Linked DNA regions of Macaca mulatta. The main gene of each other region encodes a partner of the protein of the gene in region 2 in a complex. Links are inferred from orthologs where the notes say so. Each region holds a gene or a part of one and is shown on either strand. Other genes may lie near its edges.

Region 1 (5,947 bases), on a different chromosome or scaffold from region 2:
AAGCACCTAAACGTGCTTTTTAAAAATGCAATGCATCGTCCACCACGCTTTTCCCTGCATTTTTCTGTATTTATTTAGGATAAATATTCTAAGGGGAAATTAAAAGGTCAAAGGAGGGCAGGCGCAGTGGCTCAAGCCTGTAATCCCAACACTTTGGGAGGCTGAGGCAGGAAGATCACTTGAGGCCCAGAGTCTGAGACCAACATGGATAACAAAACGAGACCCCCATCTAATTTGTACTAATTTACCTGATAAAAACAATGTGTTTTTCATGGTGCTCTTCTGAGCACTGACATAAATTGTATTAAAAGCCCTTCAACTATGAAATGAAGATGACATTTTGCATGTTTATGGTGAGGGAAGTAGATGATTCTTGACTTATCTTTCAAGAGATTAGTTCTTTTTCTTATGAATACTTATGTGCACTTTACAAGATAATGATATTAGCCCTTTGTTGTACTGGCATAAATTTATCCTGGTTTGTTGAAGTTTCTTTCTGAGATGGGGTCTCACTGTCGTCCAGGCTAGGGCACGGCAGCAAAATCAACCTACCGGCCCAAATGATCCTTCCACCTCAGTCCTCTACGTAACAGGGACAACAGGCATGAGCCCCCACACCCAGCTAATTTCTAGTTTTTTGTAGAGATGGGGTATCCCTATGTTGCCCAAGCTGGTCTCAAATTCACGGCCTCAAGTGATCCTCCCACCTTGGCCTCCCAAAGTGCTGGGATTACAGGTGTGAGCCACTGCGCCCGACCTGATTATTTTTCTTAGAGATGAGGTCTATGTTGCTAAGGCCGGACTTGAACCCCGGCCTGCAGAGTGGCTGGGCGGCAGGCATGCCCCACCTGAAGACTGTTTTTTAACGTTCACTTCCACAAGATCATGCATTTGGCTTCCACCTACTATTCCACAGAAAGCGTTCCCAGTGAAGTCTGTGGTTCAGGAAAGGCAAATCTGATCAGGGTCTGGAGCCCACCTCTGGCCGCCCTCTCATTCTCCATGCTGCAGGCCGGCGCTCCATGCAGCACGCACCAAGATCCTTCTACGCTGACTGGGGCTGCCCGTAGTACCCTCCCTGTAGCCCTATCTGACTTGGGGGTACTTCTTCAGTATTTACATCTCATAAACACCTGCCTCCTTTCACTTCTTCAGTATTCCCTGCTAATTTACTCAGCTGTTTCTTCTATCAGACAAAGTCCTGTGAGAGTGGGAATCCTGCCTTATCTGATATTAGGCCCCACCACTAGACCACAGACCTGGTGGGGGCTCAAGATACATGTTTAGTGCATAAGGTAACTAAAGTACCATTTGTCTTAATATTCTGAATCACAGAAACAACAGCAGAAGGAAGTTTCATCTTCTTTTCTGAGTATAGCATCAGTCCTAAGAATATCAAACTACACTAAGTAGGCTACAGCCTCCATCCAAGGCTGTTCCCTGCAGCCTCCTTGCCCCTCACAGCATCTCCAGCCCCAGGCTGGCCTCCACTGCACGCTGTGGGGGGCACAGACCTAAGACGGCCCTCCCTGTTCTCACCTGAAGAATTAGAAAAGGCCTCTATTGCCTCAAACAGGCTGTTAACAGGAATATGGACTTTAGGAATGCCTGGTGCGGGCTCGGAAGGAAGTGAGGAGTGCGTTACTGGGAAACGGAGCAAAGGGGACCCCGTTACAGAGTGGCCAAGGAACAGGGACACAGGGTCCGCAGTTATGGGAGATCAGAGCTCAAAAGCAACACACTTGGGATATTTAGCTGCGGAAACTTCCAAGCAAAGTCTCGGAAGTGCTGCCTTCAAGAGAGGAAACAGGCAAATTCGTGTAAGAACTGTTAACAAAAGGAATAAATTCTTGAGCCTCTCCGGATGGCCAAAGGTGCTGAAACTCAGAAATGGCTGCTGAACGCACAGCAGAGGAAAGGATGAGGGTCGGCCACGCAACCTTTGCTGAAACCTATGAAAGATCAAAAGTTCACAAGAAATGCAGGTGCACCTCACAGATCTTCTCACCAAACAGGAGGTGCCTAGGAAGCCTAAGGCATGTCCAGGGGAGCGTATCCCGATGCCCAGAACCGCGGCAGTGCCTCACACTTTGGCAGCCTGAGGCGAGAGGATGGCTTGAAGCCAGGAGTTCAAGGATGCTGTGATGGCACCGTTGCCCTCCACCCTGGGTGACAGAGTGAGACTCCATCTCAATAAATCAATAAAACAAGGTGATTATCCTGGATTATTTAGGCAAGTCTAATCTAATCACAGTCCTCTAAAACCAGAGCATTTTCTCAGGCAGAACTTTTCAGGAAGTCAGAGAACTTGTGTGAAAATACCTCAACATGGCCGGGTGCGGTGGCTCAAGCCTGTAATCCCAGCGCTTTGGGAGGCCGAGACGGGCGGATCACGAGGTCAGGAGATCGAGACTATCCTGGCTAACACGGTGAAACCCCGTCTCTACTAAAAAATACAAAAAACTAGCCGGGCGAGGTGGCGGGCGCCTGTAGTCCCAGCTACTCGGGAGGCTGAGGCAGGAGAATGGCGTAAACCCGGGAGGCAGAGCTTGCAGTGAGCTGAGATCCGGCCCCTGGGCGACAGAGCGAGACTCCGTCTCAAAAAACAAACAAACAAAAAAAAAGAAAATACCTCACCGTGCCGGCATGCCGGTGCTGGCTTTGAGGGTGATGAGGTCTCTAGCAGCAGCGTGGCCTCAGGTAACAGCAGCAAGGAAGCAGATCTCAGACTCTCCACCACGAAGAGCTGGATTCGGCCCACAACCCAAACAAGCCCCTCAGACGCTCCAGAGAAGCACCTGGCCCATGGTTCAGACCTTGGGAGACCCTGAGCAGGAATCCAGCGGGCCCTGCCTGGATGTCTGACTTACAGAGCTGTGAGCTCTGAAAAGGGGGGTGATTTAAGCTGCTCAATGTGTGCTAATTTGTTACAAAGACTATGAAACTAATACACACCCTGTACAACCCACCTGACCTTCCTGACCAAGCAGGAGGCTCCACTTTTGGAGAACGGTTAATGCTCATGCAGCTAATTCACCAACCTCTATGGTAACTAAACAAGCAAAAACAGCATCAGATGGTGATTTCCTTCCCCATTAAATTTCCAAAATGAAATTTCTGGGCTGATAAAATAATCTTGTATTTATAAGCAAAGTAATTCAGTTCAGGTGTTCCTCTTAGATATAAAAAAGGACACTAAAGTCGATATCGTATTTAATAAATTAGGTTTTTTTTTTTTTTTTTTTGAGACGGAGTTTTGCTCTTGTTGCCTAGGCAGAGTGCAATGGCGCAATCTCGGCTCACTGCAACCTCCACCTCCCAGGTTCAAGTGATTCTCCTGCCTCAGCCTCCCAGTAGCTGAAATTACAGGCATGCACCACCACGCCTGGCTAATTTTGTATTTTTAGTAGAGACGAGGTTTCACCATCTTAGCCTGGTTGGTCTCGAACTCCTAACCTTGTGATCCACCCACCTCAGCCTCCCAAAGTGCTGGGATTGTAGGCGTGAGCCACCGCACCCGGCCTAAATTCGTGATTTTACAACACATTTTTGATGAACAGATTAGTTCAAGGTATCTAAAATGTCAGTAAGAATGTCTTTCATTGAATTACACTTTACCTAGTTTCCCAGCAAAGTTATTTCAAAAGGATAATTTGTTATTAAATAAATGCTAAAACTAGAATTGTTACTTTGAAAATTATTTAAAAGATTCACACTGATTGCCTGGTGATACAAATGCTATTGGGATATGACTGTAGAACCAACTTCCTTCAAAATAAAATAAAGAGATCTTGGTTACATTAAACTTCCAAACTGACAATATTCAGTTTCAATAACGACTTTAAAATAACATACCTGAAGAAAAACATGACAGTACAAGGATCGTATAACTCATACATTTTGTTGAAGTCAGGTACTTCTGTAATATCCACAAGATAAATAACTGCAAAATTTTTAACCTAAAAGGAGATTAAAAAAAAAAAAAAACTGAAATAACAGAACACTTTGGCTTTCACTTTATAAAAGCACATTTATAAAAACAAAACCAAGAATTTGTGTGGATCAGGGCAACTTTTGTTTTGTTTTTTTTTGAGACAGGGTCTCACTCTGTCGTCCACAGAGCACAGTGGTGCAATCATAGCCGGGACCCTGGCCACCGGCTCCTTCCACCTCACGCCACCGTTTCCCAGAACACTTCAGGACTGGCCACTGGCTCCTTCTGCCTCATGCCACCATTTCCCAGAATTGCCTAGGAATTAAATTTCACTCAGGTGACAAGTTATGAAAGTCCTGCAGAAAACGTCCACAGATATAGCATTTATGCTGATCTAGTAATCATCTATACGAACCTTTACATAGTTACATGCATCTCACAGCTGCTCTAAAATATGCCTGTAGAATCCTGCCATCATTTTCCTGCAGTTAGGTTTGAACACTTGCAAATACTAATAATACCCCAATAAAACACATTTCCTGTTATTTCTTCTTTAACTGCAAGTTTATCAGAGATTTAGAAAAGCCAGAAAAGGCCGGGCGCGGTGGCTCAAGCCTGTAATCCCAGCACTTTGGGAGGCCGAGACGGGCGGATCACGAGGTCAGGAGATCGAGACCATCCTGGCTAACACAGTGAAACCCCGTCTCTACTAAAAAATACAAAAAACTAGCCGGGCGAGGTGGCGGGCGCCTGTAGTCCCAGCTACTCCGGAGGCTGAGGCAGGAGAATGGCGTAAACCCGGGAGGCGGAGCTTGCAGTGAGCTGAGATTCGGCCACTGCACTCCAGCCCGGGCTACAGAGCAAGACTCCGTCTCAAAAAAAAAAAAAAAAAAAAAAAAAAAAGAAAAGCCAGAAAAATAAAAAGAAAATAAAATCACCTCCAATCCCAACACCCAGGGGTGATTGCTGTTATCTTTTTTTCGGAGACAGGGTCTGGCTCTGCTGCCCAGGCTGGAGTGCAGTGGCAAGATCTTGGCTCACTGCAACCTCTGCCTCCTGGGCTCAAGCGATCCACCCATCTCAGCCTCCCAAGTAGCTGGGACTACAGGCACGTACCACCACACCTGGCTAATTTTTGTATTTTTTGTAGAGACAGGGTTTTGCCATGTTGCCCAGACTAGTCTTGAACTCCTGGACTCAAGTGATACGCCTGCCTTGGCTTCCCAAAGTGCTGCAATTACAGGCACGAGCCACCACGCCTTGCACTTTTTTTACTATATTCTTTCCCCCCTTTCTTATAGATATATTTTGCTTATACTATTTCTGTTCAGACATAGCAAACTGTGGTCATATTGTGATCGTACAATATTTTGTATCCTGCTTTAATTATGAGCTTTCTTTTCTTTTTTTTTTGAGACAGAGTCTCGCTCTGTGGCCCAGGCTGGAGTGCTGTGGCTGGATCTCAGCTCACTGCAAGCTCCGCCTCCCGGGTTCACGCCATTCTCCTGCCTCAGCCTCCCGAGTAGCTGGGACTACAGGCGCCCGTCACCTCGCCTGGCTAGTTTTTGTATTTTTTAGTAGAGAAGGGGTTTCACCGTGTTAGCCAGGATGGTCTCGATCTCCTGACCTCGTGATCCGCCCGTCTAGGCCTCCCAAAGTGCTGGGATTACAGGCTTGAGCCACCGCGCCCAGCCGAGCTTTCTTTTTTTTTGAGACAGAGTCTCGATCTGTCACCCAGTCTGGAGTGCAGTGGCACGATCTTGGCTCACTGCAACCTCCACCTCCTGGGTTCAAGCTATTCTCCAGCCTCAGCCTCCCATGTAGCTGGGATTACAGGTGCGTGCTAGTGCATCTGGCTAATTTTTGTATTTTTAGTAGAGATGAGGTTTCACCATATTGGCCAGGCTGATCTCAAACTCCTGACAGGTGATCCACCCACCTCAGCCTCTCAAAGTGCTGGAATTACAGGCGTGAGCCACCCTGCCGGCCAATTATGAGCATTCTTTTACATAC
Region 2 (6,393 bases):
AAGAGTTCAAGACGAGCCTGGGCAAGATGGCAGGATCCTGTCTCTATAAAAAAAAAATCTTAAAAATTAGCCAGGCATAGTAGTGTGCACCTGTAGTCCCAGCTACTTAGTAGGCTGAGGCAGAAGGATCCCTTGAGCCCAGTAGTTTGAGGATATAGTGAGCTGCAATCATACCACTGCTCTCCAGCCTGGGCAACAGAGCAAGACACCATCTCTTTAAAAAAAAAAAAAAAAAAAAAAACTTCACATGTGGAAGCGTGGTCTGAGGAAAGCCTACCCTTTCTACCTGCTGGGGGTTGGCCAGATTTGACAGGCCACCTCGCCAATTAGCCCCAAGTCAACAAGCAGCTCTGTTACATAAGGCTCCTAGTTCCTGCCAAATGTTGCCATGCCAGAGTAAGGAGAGGGCAAGGAACTCCTCCAAATTTAGCATCTAATTGGCAGCCATCAAGAGTGAGGCCTTGAAGTGTAAACCCTTGGAGATCTGAGATTCTGTCTTTTATGTGCCTGGGAAATGTATCCTCAGAAAACTGCTTTTCAGCTTGGCCTGAATTTGGCAAATCTCTCCTTTCTACTAACTAATAACTTACAGATCACCTCCTCTTATTCAAACTTGAAACTATATATAGTCCTGTAGACTACAGGAAGGCTGGCCAGTCTCTTGGCCAAGAGTGATTTATTCAGCCCATTGACTTCATGAGATTCTGTTTTGATGATGAGTATACTTGTAATAACAATAGCTATAATTAATTCTGTGTGCCAGGCACTTTGCGTATATTACCTCATTATTTTTCTCAACAAAATTATGAGATCAATATTTTCTCCATCATTGTAACTAAGAAGCTTAGAGAAGTTAAATGATCTGCAATTATTTAACTTCTCTGAGCTAAGCTTACTTAGCTAGTAAATAGCTGCACTGAGACTTGAACCCCAGTCTTTCTGACTCCAGAGCTCATACTCTTTTACTGTGCCACACTGCCAATAATTGAATTAATGAGGACCACCTTTTTGTGCGTGACAGGAAAGAAGACAGTAGGAAGGGTATGAGTATCAGAGCCAAGGAGTCTAGACTGATGGAGTTCCTGCTTCTCCTCCATCTTGCTCAGAGCTTAGTTTCTATGGAGCCTAGCTGATGACAGCTAAATAGTATAATTAAGAAGCTCTTGTTTATTTGCATTTTAGACCAAAAGTGTAATGTTGGATTAGAACTAGGCATTTTATAATCCAGTACTGGTGAATGTACCATTTTTATGATCAAGTACTGGTGAGTTGTTGATTGCACAAAACAAAATATGTAAATAATTTTAAATACCTGCTTCAAAACCACCAGCCCTTTATATTTACCAACAGATAAATTTTACTTCATCAGATTAAGATAATAGACCCTTTATTTTTAGCCAGTATATTTATGGATGGTTAAGTGAAAGTAAAATACGGGAGTATATTAAGAGCTCCAGAGTCTTGGGTTCAGCTCTGTAGTTTCTGTGGCTGCTGAAGAGGTGGTCAGGAATATAGGAACCCCCTGCTGGGCTCCTGGTCACTTCTGTCTGCTCCATGGCAGGAAGCCTTCAGCACAAGACATCAAGGCAAGCTTGAATAAGAAAAACAATTTCTTCTTCCTAAGCCATGTCATATCAGTTATACAGAAGTACTACTTTGGGAAACAGTCTTCAGGAGAGCCTAGATGAGCTCATACAATCTCAGCAGTTCACTCAACTTGCCCTTCAAGTTTTACTTCAGTTTGATAAGGCTATAAACGCATCATTTTGGCTCAGAGGGTTAGGAACAGAGTTGATTTCAGTGGCTCTCTAAATACATACAGATTCTGCCATATGCCATGCATGGTGGCTCATGCCTGTCATCCCAGCACTTTGGGAGGTGAAGGCGGGAGGATCGCTTGAGGCGAGGAGTTCAAGACCAGCCTCGACAACATAGGAAGACACTGTCTCTACAAAAAAAAAAAAATTAATTTAGAAAAACAAAAAGATTCTGTGATAATATGTAGACTTTTATATTCAATGATATTGAATTACAAAAGGTGATAGAACTTATTAAAGTGGATAAAGTGAAAATTATGGCCTGTGATGATAAAAATACTGGCTGTAATACTACCGAATGAATAGGAAAAAAATCACGTTTTTATGACATCTTCTGTTACTATTCATCACTTTTGAAGAGAAATGTAAAAATTTTTTTATTCTAGCATTGCAGAAATTACATTGTGTTATTTTGGTATTTCGGTAGTTTTCAGTAGTATTCAGAGTATTTCAGTAGAAAGAAATTTAAAACTCTATAGCCTCTTATATTACCTTTATTATACAGCATGAAAAAAACATGAGACAGGATCTCACTCTGTCACCCAGGCTGGAGTGCAGTAGTGCCATCTCAGCTCACTGCAGCCTCTACCTGCTGGACTCAGTCAGTCCTCCCACCTTGGCCTCCCGAGTAGCTGGGACCACAGGCATGCACCACCACACCTGGCTAATTTTTTTTGTAGAGACGGGGTTTTACCATGTTGTCTAAGCTGGTCTCAAGCGCCTGAGCTCAAGCAGTCCATCAGCCTTGGCGCCCCAAAGTGCTAGGATTACAGACGTGAGCCACCATGCCCAGCCTCATAATTTTTTTTAATGACAAATAAAAATTTTGTCTTCCTAAGAACATTCTCTAATAAGCTTTTTTTTTTTTTTAAGAGTTCTAATTTTAGTTTTGCCATTGATGAACTGTATTGCCTTGGAAACGTCACTGTGCCCCAGTTTTCTTATCTCTAAAATAGGGAGTTTAGAAAAGCTGATATCTTTTTTCTCCTTTTTTTTTTTGGAGACGGAGTCTTACTCCGTCACCCAGGCTAGAGGACAGTGCCACGGTCTTGGCTCACTACAACCTCTGCCTCCCAGGTTCAAGCAATTCTCCTACTTCAGCCTCCCAAGTAGTTGGGATTACAGGCACACGCTACCACACCTGGCTAATTTTTTGTATTTTTAGTAGAGACTGGGTTTCACCTTGTTGGCCAGGCTGGTCTCAAACTCCTGACCTCAGACGATCCACCCACCTCAGCCTCCCAAAGTGCTGGGATTATAGGCATGAGCCACCATACCCAACCTAGACAAGCTGATTTCTATTGGCCCCTTCCCATTCTATAATTCAGTATTCCTTCTGCCTGATAATTCAATGGAAAATTTGACTCAAGTGAGTATTAGGTTAGCAAATAGTATAAATATTTTATATACCAGACACTTCCTGTCCTTTCTCGGGGCTTTGTTTGAATACAGTACGAAAAAGTTCACCCGGATCTGCAGCCTAGGCTCCCACCCTGCCATGAGTTGTGTTACCTTTTAGACTTCCTGGATGAGTATGAAGTTAACTGTAGCCTAATTATACTAGACACTCTGAAAAAGGTTTTTGTGTGATGTCTGCAGGAAAACCTTTCTCTTCTTCCCTGTGGTGTTTCCCATTTCAGAAGCTTGTATTCAAACATGCCAGTAATGCTTATATTTTTAGTTATTCTTATTTCTCCACCCCATTGCTCAAGAGCTGAGTTCATGTCTTATTCAAACTCTGTATTCCTAGTTTCTAAAAGCCAGAACACGGTTCAGTAAATGTAAGGTAAGTAAATAATTGTTGCTTCCATTTCCTTTAAAAAGCCATGCCTCTGCCTTACCCCCAGCTCTAGGAGGCCTTACCCTTGCTTTTCATGATACCTTACAGGTTTGTGTATGTGTGGGATACCACAAGCAGGAGAATATTATATAAGCTGCCCGGCCATGCTGGCTCCATCAATGAAGTTGCTTTCCACCCTGACGAGCCCATCAGTAAGTCTTTCCCAACAAGGGGGAAAGGGAAACTGGAAATCTCCCCGTAGGGATCCTGGGAATACAGAGGCAAAAGTGGGTATCTGTTTTATGCGAATTTCCATGCAAACAGCCTTTGGTGTTTTGTGTGGTTTTTTTTGTTTTTTTGTATGGTTTTTTTTTTTTTTTGAGACAGAGTCTCGCTGTTTCGCCCAGGTTGGAGCAATGGTGCAATCTCAGCTCACCGCAACCTCTGCCTCCTGGGTTCAAGCAGTTCTCCTGCCTCAGCCTCCCAAGTAGCTGGCATTACAGGCACACCACCATGCCCAGCTAATTTGTTTTTTTTGTCTTTTTTTTTTTTTTGGTATTTTTAGTAGAGACAGGGTTTCACCATATTGGTCAGGCTGGTCACGAACTCCTGACCTCAAGTAATCCACCCACCTCAGCCTCCCAAAGTGCTGGGATTACAGGCGTGAGTCACTGTGCCCAGCTGCAAACAGTCTTTTTTTTTTTTTTTTTTTTTTTTTTTTTTTTTTTTTTTTTTTTTTTTTTTTTTTTTGAGACGGAGTCTCGCTCTGTCGCCCGGGCTGGAGTGCAGTGGCCGGATCTCAGCTCACTGCAAGCTCCGCCTCCCGGGTTTACGCCATTCTCCTGCCTCAGCCTCCCGAATAGCTGGGACTACAGGCGCCCGCCACCTCGCCCGGCTAGTTTTTTGTATTTTTTTTAGTAGAGACGGGGTTTCACCGTGTTAGCCAGGATGGTCTCGATCTCCTGACCTCGTGATCCGCCTGCCTCGGCCTCCCAGAGTGCTGGGATTACAGGCTTGAGCCACCGCGCCCGGCCTGCAAACAGTCTTTATGTGGGTATCAATGACACTCTCACCACCTCATAAGTGGTAAGGGTAAGAGCAATGCTCTATTTTCTTCTTGATTTCAAAAGGAAGTTGGTAAGTCTAATTTTTTTTTTTTAAATTTACTTCCATCAAGTCTGTTTCAATGATGTATTTGGATAAAAGAACGATACTTTTTTTTTTCTTTTTTTTTAAGACGGAGTCTCACTCTTGTTGCCCAGGCTAGGATGCAGTGGCAAGATCTCGGCTCACTGCAACCTCTGCCTTCCCAGGTTCAAGCGATTCTCCTGCCTTAGCCTCCCAAGTAGCTGGGACTACAGGCACCCACCATCACACCTGCCTAATTTTTGTATTTTTAGTAGAGACGAGGTTTCACCATGTTGGCCAGGCCTGGTCTGGCCTCCCAAAGTGCTGGGATTACAGGTGTGAGCCACCATGCCCAACCAAGAATGATTCTTCTTAATATTTGGATATAGGCCGGGCGCGGTGGCTCAAGCCTGTAATCCCAGCACTTTGGGAGGCCGAGACGGGTGGATCACGAGGTCAGGAGATCGAGACCATCCTGGTTAACACGGTGAAACCCCGTCTCTACTAAAAAATACAAAAAACTAGCCGGGCGAGGTGGCGGGCGCCTGTAGTCCCAGCTACTTGGGAGGCTGAGGCAGGAGAATGGCATGAAGCCGGGAGGCGGCGCTTGCAGTGAGCCAAGATCGTGCCACTGCACTCCAGCCTGGGTGACAGAGCGAGACTCCGTCTCAAAAAAAAAAAAAAAAAAAATTTGGATATACATTTCAGCTTAAAATTTTGTGGCTGGCTAAACCAAATAATTTAAGCCTTGAATTAAAGGAGAAACTGTAACTTTCTCCAGGACTAAGTATAACAAGCAGAAGCACATTTACAAAATGACTGGCACAGCCATAGATTCCTCTTTTCTACAATGATTGGGAAAGTCTTTTTCTTGGGGTTTGACTGACAAAAGACATCAGTATTTAGTGTCTGATAATGTATTTCCCATAGTACAGTCATCCTCATGATATTAGAGGATTTGGATTGAAAAGCCAGGCTACAATTTCCTGTGAATGGTGTTTAGGAGGGGAATTTAAGCTAAGTCCAACTGCTCTTTTATACCAAAATTGGGCACCAAGTCTCCTTGAGCCTTCATTATTTCTAGGTATCTTCTCTGTTCTTTTTACCTCAGTTATCTCAGCATCGAGTGACAAGAGACTGTATATGGGAGAGATTCAGTGAAGATACGGAATGGAAGACTCCAAGACCGCTTGTCTTTGAGACCTCAGACTGCATAACTGACATCAAATGTTGGATGCCCAGGCTAGCACCCTCCCTTCAGATGACCATTGCTAGCAAGAAACAGGAGGCGGTGGCCATATTCCAAAAACCACTTCTGTCCGATTTCACCAGGATGACTAAGGCAAGCTCCCCAAGCTCCCCGTGGCCTCTAAAAACCACCTGCCAGATTTCAGGGACTGTTTTATTTTTTTTCTTTTTCTTTTTTCCTGTTTTCTAATGCAGGCCCAATGTGACAAATTTGTTGGTTGGGATTTTTTTTTTTTTTGTGAGACTGGCTTGTATGATATTTTCTTTCTGTATTTCTCTAAGTCCTTTTGTATTAAAAACCAAATAGATGCCTTTATACAAGAGCCATGTGGATTGGAATTATTGTCTTTTTTTTTTTTTTTTTGAGGCTTGATTGCTATAAATCAGAGTAGAGCTTGATGTGGCCACGGAATACAGTTC
Region 3 (6,393 bases), on a different chromosome or scaffold from region 2:
ACATGATCACTACTTTCAAGAAAGTTACAGTATAAGGATACACAAAGAAGAAAAAAATATACATATAACTTAATACTATACTATTACAGAAGTGTAGAAAGGGTGCACATAGGTTTGCACTAGGGAGTCAGGGAACATAGTACCAACTTGCTGACCTTGGAACTAACATGATACAAACTTGAACTTGTCCATGAGCACTAGGGATAAAAAGTAATATTCTACAGGACTGCTTCTCAAACTAATGCACATACAAATAACCTGGGGATCTTGTTAAAATGCAAATTCTAATTAAAAATGTATAGGACAGGACCTGAGACTCGGTATTTCTAACAAGTTCCCAAGTGATACTAATGCTACTGCTTCACAGATCACACTTTAAATAGTAAGGTTCTTGAGAGAGATTAGTCTCGAGAGAGAAGAGACAAAAATCTCCATAGCAGGGAGACCAAGAAAAAAAAATTGGAAAATAGTCAGTCGATTATCAATAAGATGGCCTTAGTGGGAGTAGTTTCAGTGGAGTGGTAGGCAAGAAGCTAAATGATGTGTATTTAGAAATAAATAGGAAGGAGGTAGGGATAGGAAATAAAATGGAATGGTTTAGTTAGTTTTTACTCTTGAAGCGAGGAAGATAAAGGAACATGGGTTGAAGAAATTCACTCTCATTTCATAAAACAACCAGCAGCAAGGTGATCGACTGAGTGAGTGAGTTTGAAGTGTGAAGTAAACATTGTGGCGAGTGAGTAAAAAGGAAGCACTGGAGACACAGCTGAGGCTGGAATCTAGAAATCCATAATAATACCAGCTTGTATATAGCTGTGTGATTCTGCTGAGCTGTATCCAGTAGTCAAGATATAGGCATAGAGAAAGTGGGCTGGAAAGAAAGTGGGATTGGTACATTTTAAAAAGGGAAGAGGAAAGGGATTAGAAATCCCAGGAAGTCAGAATAGATATAAGGGTGCCTATTCTCTAAGGAGAGAAACTAGGAAGCATTTTGGATTTGTATTTCCCCTGAGCCCTTTTTTCAAATGAACAACTAGAGACACTGTTGCGAACACATTACTAGGAGAAGATCTTACTGTATGTAAACTTGTTGAAAACTATACTGTTAAATATCATTCTCTAGTTTAAATATTAAGCACTCAATAAATACATGTGTAGGTTTAACATCCAAAGTGATAAACAGTTTTAACAGATTCCGGATGTTTCCTTACCAAAAGAAGCAATACCATACATTTTCAGTAAAATTATACTTTGAATGGCTCCTTGCTTAAAGGGCTGGTAGGCTAGTCTAGTCTTTGATCCTACTGCTTAAATGGAAAAATGACCAAAGGATAATAGAGTACTTCAAGCACAACCAGACAAGAAGTTATGTATCAAGAGTACTCATTTTTTAATAGATAATGATTTCACACTGACATCCTATCTGGCTGGCAGCTATACCCATTACAACCCAAACTGAGCAGTGACTTTCCTTTAAATATAATTATCCTTTTTACCACATTGTAATTTTTCAGTACATTTGGAGCTTTCCTATGTTTTGTTGTTTTATTTTTTAACCATAAAGTTAACTCCAGAGACTTGCTGGTATAAATAACCAAAAGTACTAATGATCTGGAAATTTTTTAAAATTTATTTGTATTTTTTTAGAGACAGGGTCTTGCTGTGTCACCCATGCACGATCATAGCTCACTGCAGCCTAGAGCTCCTAGGCTCAAGCAACTCTCCCACCTCAGCCTGCTGAGCAGCTGGGATTACAGGCATGAGCCACCATGCCAGGGTCTGATTTTGGCAACTTCACGAACTGAAAAAATACATGGTCATGACACAATCATGGAAATTTCTTTTTTTTTTTTTTTTTTGAGGCGGAGTTTCACTCTTGTTGCCCAGGCTGGAGTGCAATGGCACGATGTCGGCTCACCACAACCTCCGCCTCCCAGGCTCAAGCAATTCTCCTGCCTCAGCCTCCCCAGTAGCTGGGATTATAGGCATGCGCCACCACGCCCAGCTAATTTTTTGTATTTTTAGTAGAGACGAGGTTTCTCCATGTTGGTCAGGCTGGTCTCGAACTCCTGACCTCAGGTGATCCACCCGCCTCGGCCTCCCAAAGTGCTGGGATTACAGGCGTGAGCCACTGCGCCCGGCCTGGAAATTTCTACACTAGAGGAAAAAACTGTTTCTTCCCTTTGAAATTCTGTACTTTCTCTACTATCCTGACCTTATTTTTCTTTTGTTTCTCTTTGTAGGTAGGAGAGATAGGATGAAGGAGGGAGAGTAGAGAATGTGAATAATGAAAATGTGGGGGAACAAAACAGTTATAAATAAATGTGTGCTGTTTGCACCATTTACAAAGGCACACTTTGCCAATTATTTTACCTAAAAGAATCCAATAATGTCCACAATACTCATGTTTACCTAAAATATTCAAGCCACCTTTGGAGACTTATTTCTTATTTAATTTACTTTTCTTAGTAGAAAAGTATTTAATTTACTTTTTTAATTTATTTAATTTACTTTTCTTAGTAGACTTGCAATGCGCTTGAATATAGCTTTTTCCTCTACAGTGAATAGTACAAATTATGCGATTTTAATTTTGCAAATTATACTGATTTATAAAAAGAGAAAAACTGCTTACATGAGTAAGTGGATATATACGTTCCTATGTAAGAAATCAGCATAAAAACTAAGCTTTAAATGTCTGTTGTTTAAGTCATCCAGTCTATGGTATTTTGTATAATGGCCCAAAACACTCCTCTATCAATCCATTCTCCATACTAAATACAATCTCAGTGTATCATTTGCCTGTAAAAACTTCAATGGCTCTCCAGTATTCTCATGATAGATCAGATTCCTAAATCTAGCTATCAATGCCATGTTTGGTCATCAGGCCCAAACTACAGCCAAGGAAATCTTTTAAGAATAACCCTTAATTGTAAGAGTGAACATAATTTTGGAAAATGCGAACTTTGACTTTTCTTAACATTAGTTAAACAATTTTTTAAAGACACTTATGAAAGGTGCATTAAAAATAAACTTCAGTTCTTATACAAAATTTAGCATTGCTAAATTATAATTTATATTATAGGGTATATAAATACTTGAAATTTATTAAAGCCTATAAGACAGAGTTGGGAGTTTAAGGAACACTCATATATAACATAAATATTTGGTTGGTTCATCTATTAAAATTTTTAAATATATTTTTGTTACATTATAAACCTAACCTTTAAAAAATTCATAATTTTTTAAAATAAGAAAACACATGCCTTGAATGAGTGGAATAAAACATTATGTATCCATAATTATATTCATGATTTAACTAAAAGTCACAGTGCTAATGAGAGGTTTTTCAACTCTATGAATCTAGAAGCATGCATATGATCACTAAAATCTTTAGTCTATATTAGCTACTATATATAGTATATATAATATAATTTAGTATATAAAATTATTCAACAGTGATTACTTGAGTGTCGGGTGAATATTGCTGGAAAAAAGACACTTAAGATGACTCCTAAGTGCCATTTCTAAATGTTCAAAGCTACGCTTTTAGTGGAAATTTCTGGGAATAATTTTTATTTGATTACATAAAGAAAAAAATTGAGGGAGCTATGCAATGATAGCATGGAAATCCTTTTTCAGTTTTTCTACATGTGGTTGAGAAACATGATTGAGAAAAAGAATGTTATTTAAATGTAGTTACATTCATCTTATCCCTAAATAGTATTTGAAGAAAACAATAATTATTTTAAATATTGCTTTAAATAATTAAAGCAATGTTATTTAAAATGTATACTATGAAGTTGAAATAGAATCACAAAGGAGATAATTTTTTCAATTAAGTTGAATTTCAGGAGAATAAAATGTTGAGTTATAAATCCAACAAACTTTTATCACCAGACAGTAAACTTTTCATCATTTGCTGAAATTTATTTTATGATACTACTGAGCTTAGGATAGGTATATGGTATTTGGTAAATCAGACTTGAAAAGATATTTAAGAACGTTTTCAGGCCCACACATTTTCTTCATCAATTTTGACAAATTTTGCTCACCTAAATTATTTGAGGATGTCTCTTTTCTTTCTATACAATTACTCTACTGCTCTCACTGGTATTTAACAAATGCATTCTTTCACATCTAGCTAATACATTATTAGCCTATATATATGAACTTATAGAGCCTTTCTAAAAAAGGATCAGAGAGAAATAAAATGGAATTGAACTCACAGGATCATTACTATGTTTACTTTAAGCTTGGTGTATTTTATTTTAGGCCCGCTACTGGGCCAATTTGTACAACTGTTATGTTTATCAAACAATATGAAAATAGTATTTTAAAAATTAGCTGAAGAGAGGATTCAATCTGAATTAAAGTGAAATATAAAAAGACAAAAAGTCTGATACCTAGCACAGTAACTGACTCACCTGCGGCTGACTGATTTCTTCTCCACTTCTCCTTCTCCAGCTGATTTAACATTCGCGCTTGTGTCCTTTTTTAACTTTTTGGCAATTCTTTCTCTCATCAGGTTCTTTTCATCACCATCAACATATTCATCATACTCTGCACTTTCATCTTCTCCATCCTGTAGAAATGGAAAATGAGTATTTGCCAGGCACTCAATTTCCCCTTTCATTTCTAGAGATCTACTGCATCCACTGAATCTCCTTATTGCATTCTAAACTAGGTTTTTCTTTATTTTGTTTTCTTTTGTGTTGAATTACAAGCCTTTGAAGAATCTGCTACAGGTGGGAATAGCCCTGGGTTCTGCTCTAAGCCAACTATGTAATTATGGGATACCCCAGGAAAGGTTGTTTGCTCAATTCATGCCCAGCTCCTTTGTGCAGCAGACTTCACCCCCATATCACCCGGGCTATTGTATCTGTCTATATTCCTATTCTTATCTCAGTGGGAAATGTGGCTTCTGAAGGCAGTTGGGCAGCATACTGACCTCAACACGGATCAACTCAGGTAGAAGAGGTGTAGTGCAGAAGCTGAGATTTCTATAATCCAAGTCATAGCATCACTTCTCTTCTGAAAACCCTCTAGTGGGTCCCCAACTCACTCAAGGTCCTATGCAGTCTAAACCTCCCTGACATAATCTCCTACAACTCCACCCCAGCAACACTAGCCAGCTTTGGAGTTGCTGTTCTCTCTAGCCTGAAACAAACACTCTATTCCAGATATCTCTTCATTGCTTGCTCTTTCATCTCCTTCGGATCTTTGCTCAAATATTACCGTCTTGGTGATGAGATTACCCTATTAAAATGGCAGAACCACACACTTACCTCCAGTACTCTTTCCCCTTCCCTGGCTTATTTTCCAAAGTACTTATCACCTATCTGATACACCATACATTTTAATTATTTGTATGTGTATTGTCTCTCATCCAACTATAGCATACACTCCATGAGGGCTAAAATTCTGGCCTGTTTTGCTTACTGTTGTATCTTCAACTCCTAGAATGGTACCCAGCATTAACAGAGGGAGGAATGAAGGGAAGAAAGAGGGGAGAGAAGAAGGAAGAAATAACCCCAAGTAGATCATTTTTATTTCGTGATTCTTTCTTTGATCTGGTGAGTCGTAGTGAAAGCAGGATTCTTAATTTGAGACTTGTGGACCCCTAAAGCAGTGGTCCTCAAAGTCTGGTCTTTAGATGGTATTACATAGTTGTTTATTAACACCTGAAATTCTAGTCCTCATTGCAGACTTATTGAACCAAAATCTCTGGGGGCAGAAATTATGAATGTTTTCAACAAGATGTTTAAGCACTAAAAGTTGACAACCACCAACCTAGGCCTTCCATGCTCAGGCCTCAGGAGATCTGAAAAAAATTCCCGGCAAATTCATATAATTTTGGTTGTGAATGTAGGATATTTTCCTGGGAAAGGATCTACAGTTTTAGTCACCCACCCATGATATTAAGAGCAAATTTATACTTTTACATTCTATCCTATACATTGATCCTATCTTCTAGACCCATATTATGTTACACAGATGTCTCCAAATTACTTCAATCTTGAAATGTATAAAATTAAGCTCATTACTTTTCATCCTTCTCTCCATCTCAACCCTATGCTTTCTTTTGTACCCATCTAACAAGTTGCCCAAACCAGAGACCTTGTGGTTGTCTTGGACTACTCCTCCCTCACCTCATAGTATGGAATCAGTCACCTCCTAGACCTCTTTCAAATCTACCTCTTTCCCATCTCACAGCTGTGGTCTTATATCAAGCTCTCCTCCTGCAATAGCTTCCCAGTGGCTGTCCTTGACATCAGTCTGTTTCCTCTAATTTGTCCTCTATAATATCACCAACGGTGATCTTCCTGAAATGCAAAATTGATCACAGCATCCTTCTTTTTAACAAACACCCTTCAACTGTTCCTCACTTCCTTT

Evidence for each region.
Region 1: SNRNP40 (region 2) and TXNL4A share a complex: the UniProt entries of both Homo sapiens proteins name them as parts of the U4/U6-U5 tri-snRNP complex. The link is inferred for Macaca mulatta from reciprocal best matches to the Homo sapiens genes SNRNP40 and TXNL4A.
Region 3: SNRNP40 (region 2) and CWC27 share a complex: the UniProt entries of both Homo sapiens proteins name them as parts of the minor spliceosome. The link is inferred for Macaca mulatta from reciprocal best matches to the Homo sapiens genes SNRNP40 and CWC27.

Annotation. Positions count from the first base shown.
Region 1 is NC_133423.1:1,034,302-1,040,248, reverse strand, and holds part of TXNL4A (thioredoxin-like protein 4A), read right to left. Parts: intron 3,960-5,947; coding exon 3,856-3,959; intron 1-3,855. UniProt on the Homo sapiens protein: Plays a role in pre-mRNA splicing as component of the U5 snRNP and U4/U6-U5 tri-snRNP complexes that are involved in spliceosome assembly, and as component of the precatalytic spliceosome (spliceosome B complex).
Region 2 is NC_133406.1:209,600,011-209,606,403, forward strand, and holds the end of SNRNP40 (U5 small nuclear ribonucleoprotein 40 kDa protein), read left to right. Parts: intron 1-1,484; exon of another isoform or gene 1,485-1,834; intron 1,835-1,986; exon of another isoform or gene 1,987-2,262; intron 2,263-3,705; coding exon 3,706-3,809; intron 3,810-5,836; coding exon 5,837-5,886; downstream 5,887-6,393. UniProt on the Homo sapiens protein: Required for pre-mRNA splicing as component of the activated spliceosome. Component of the U5 small nuclear ribonucleoprotein (snRNP) complex and the U4/U6-U5 tri-snRNP complex, building blocks of the spliceosome.
Region 3 is NC_133411.1:72,855,109-72,861,501, reverse strand, and holds part of CWC27 (spliceosome-associated protein CWC27 homolog), read right to left. Parts: intron 4,583-6,393; coding exon 4,425-4,582; intron 1-4,424. UniProt on the Homo sapiens protein: As part of the spliceosome, plays a role in pre-mRNA splicing. Probable inactive PPIase with no peptidyl-prolyl cis-trans isomerase activity. As a component of the minor spliceosome, involved in the splicing of U12-type introns in pre-mRNAs.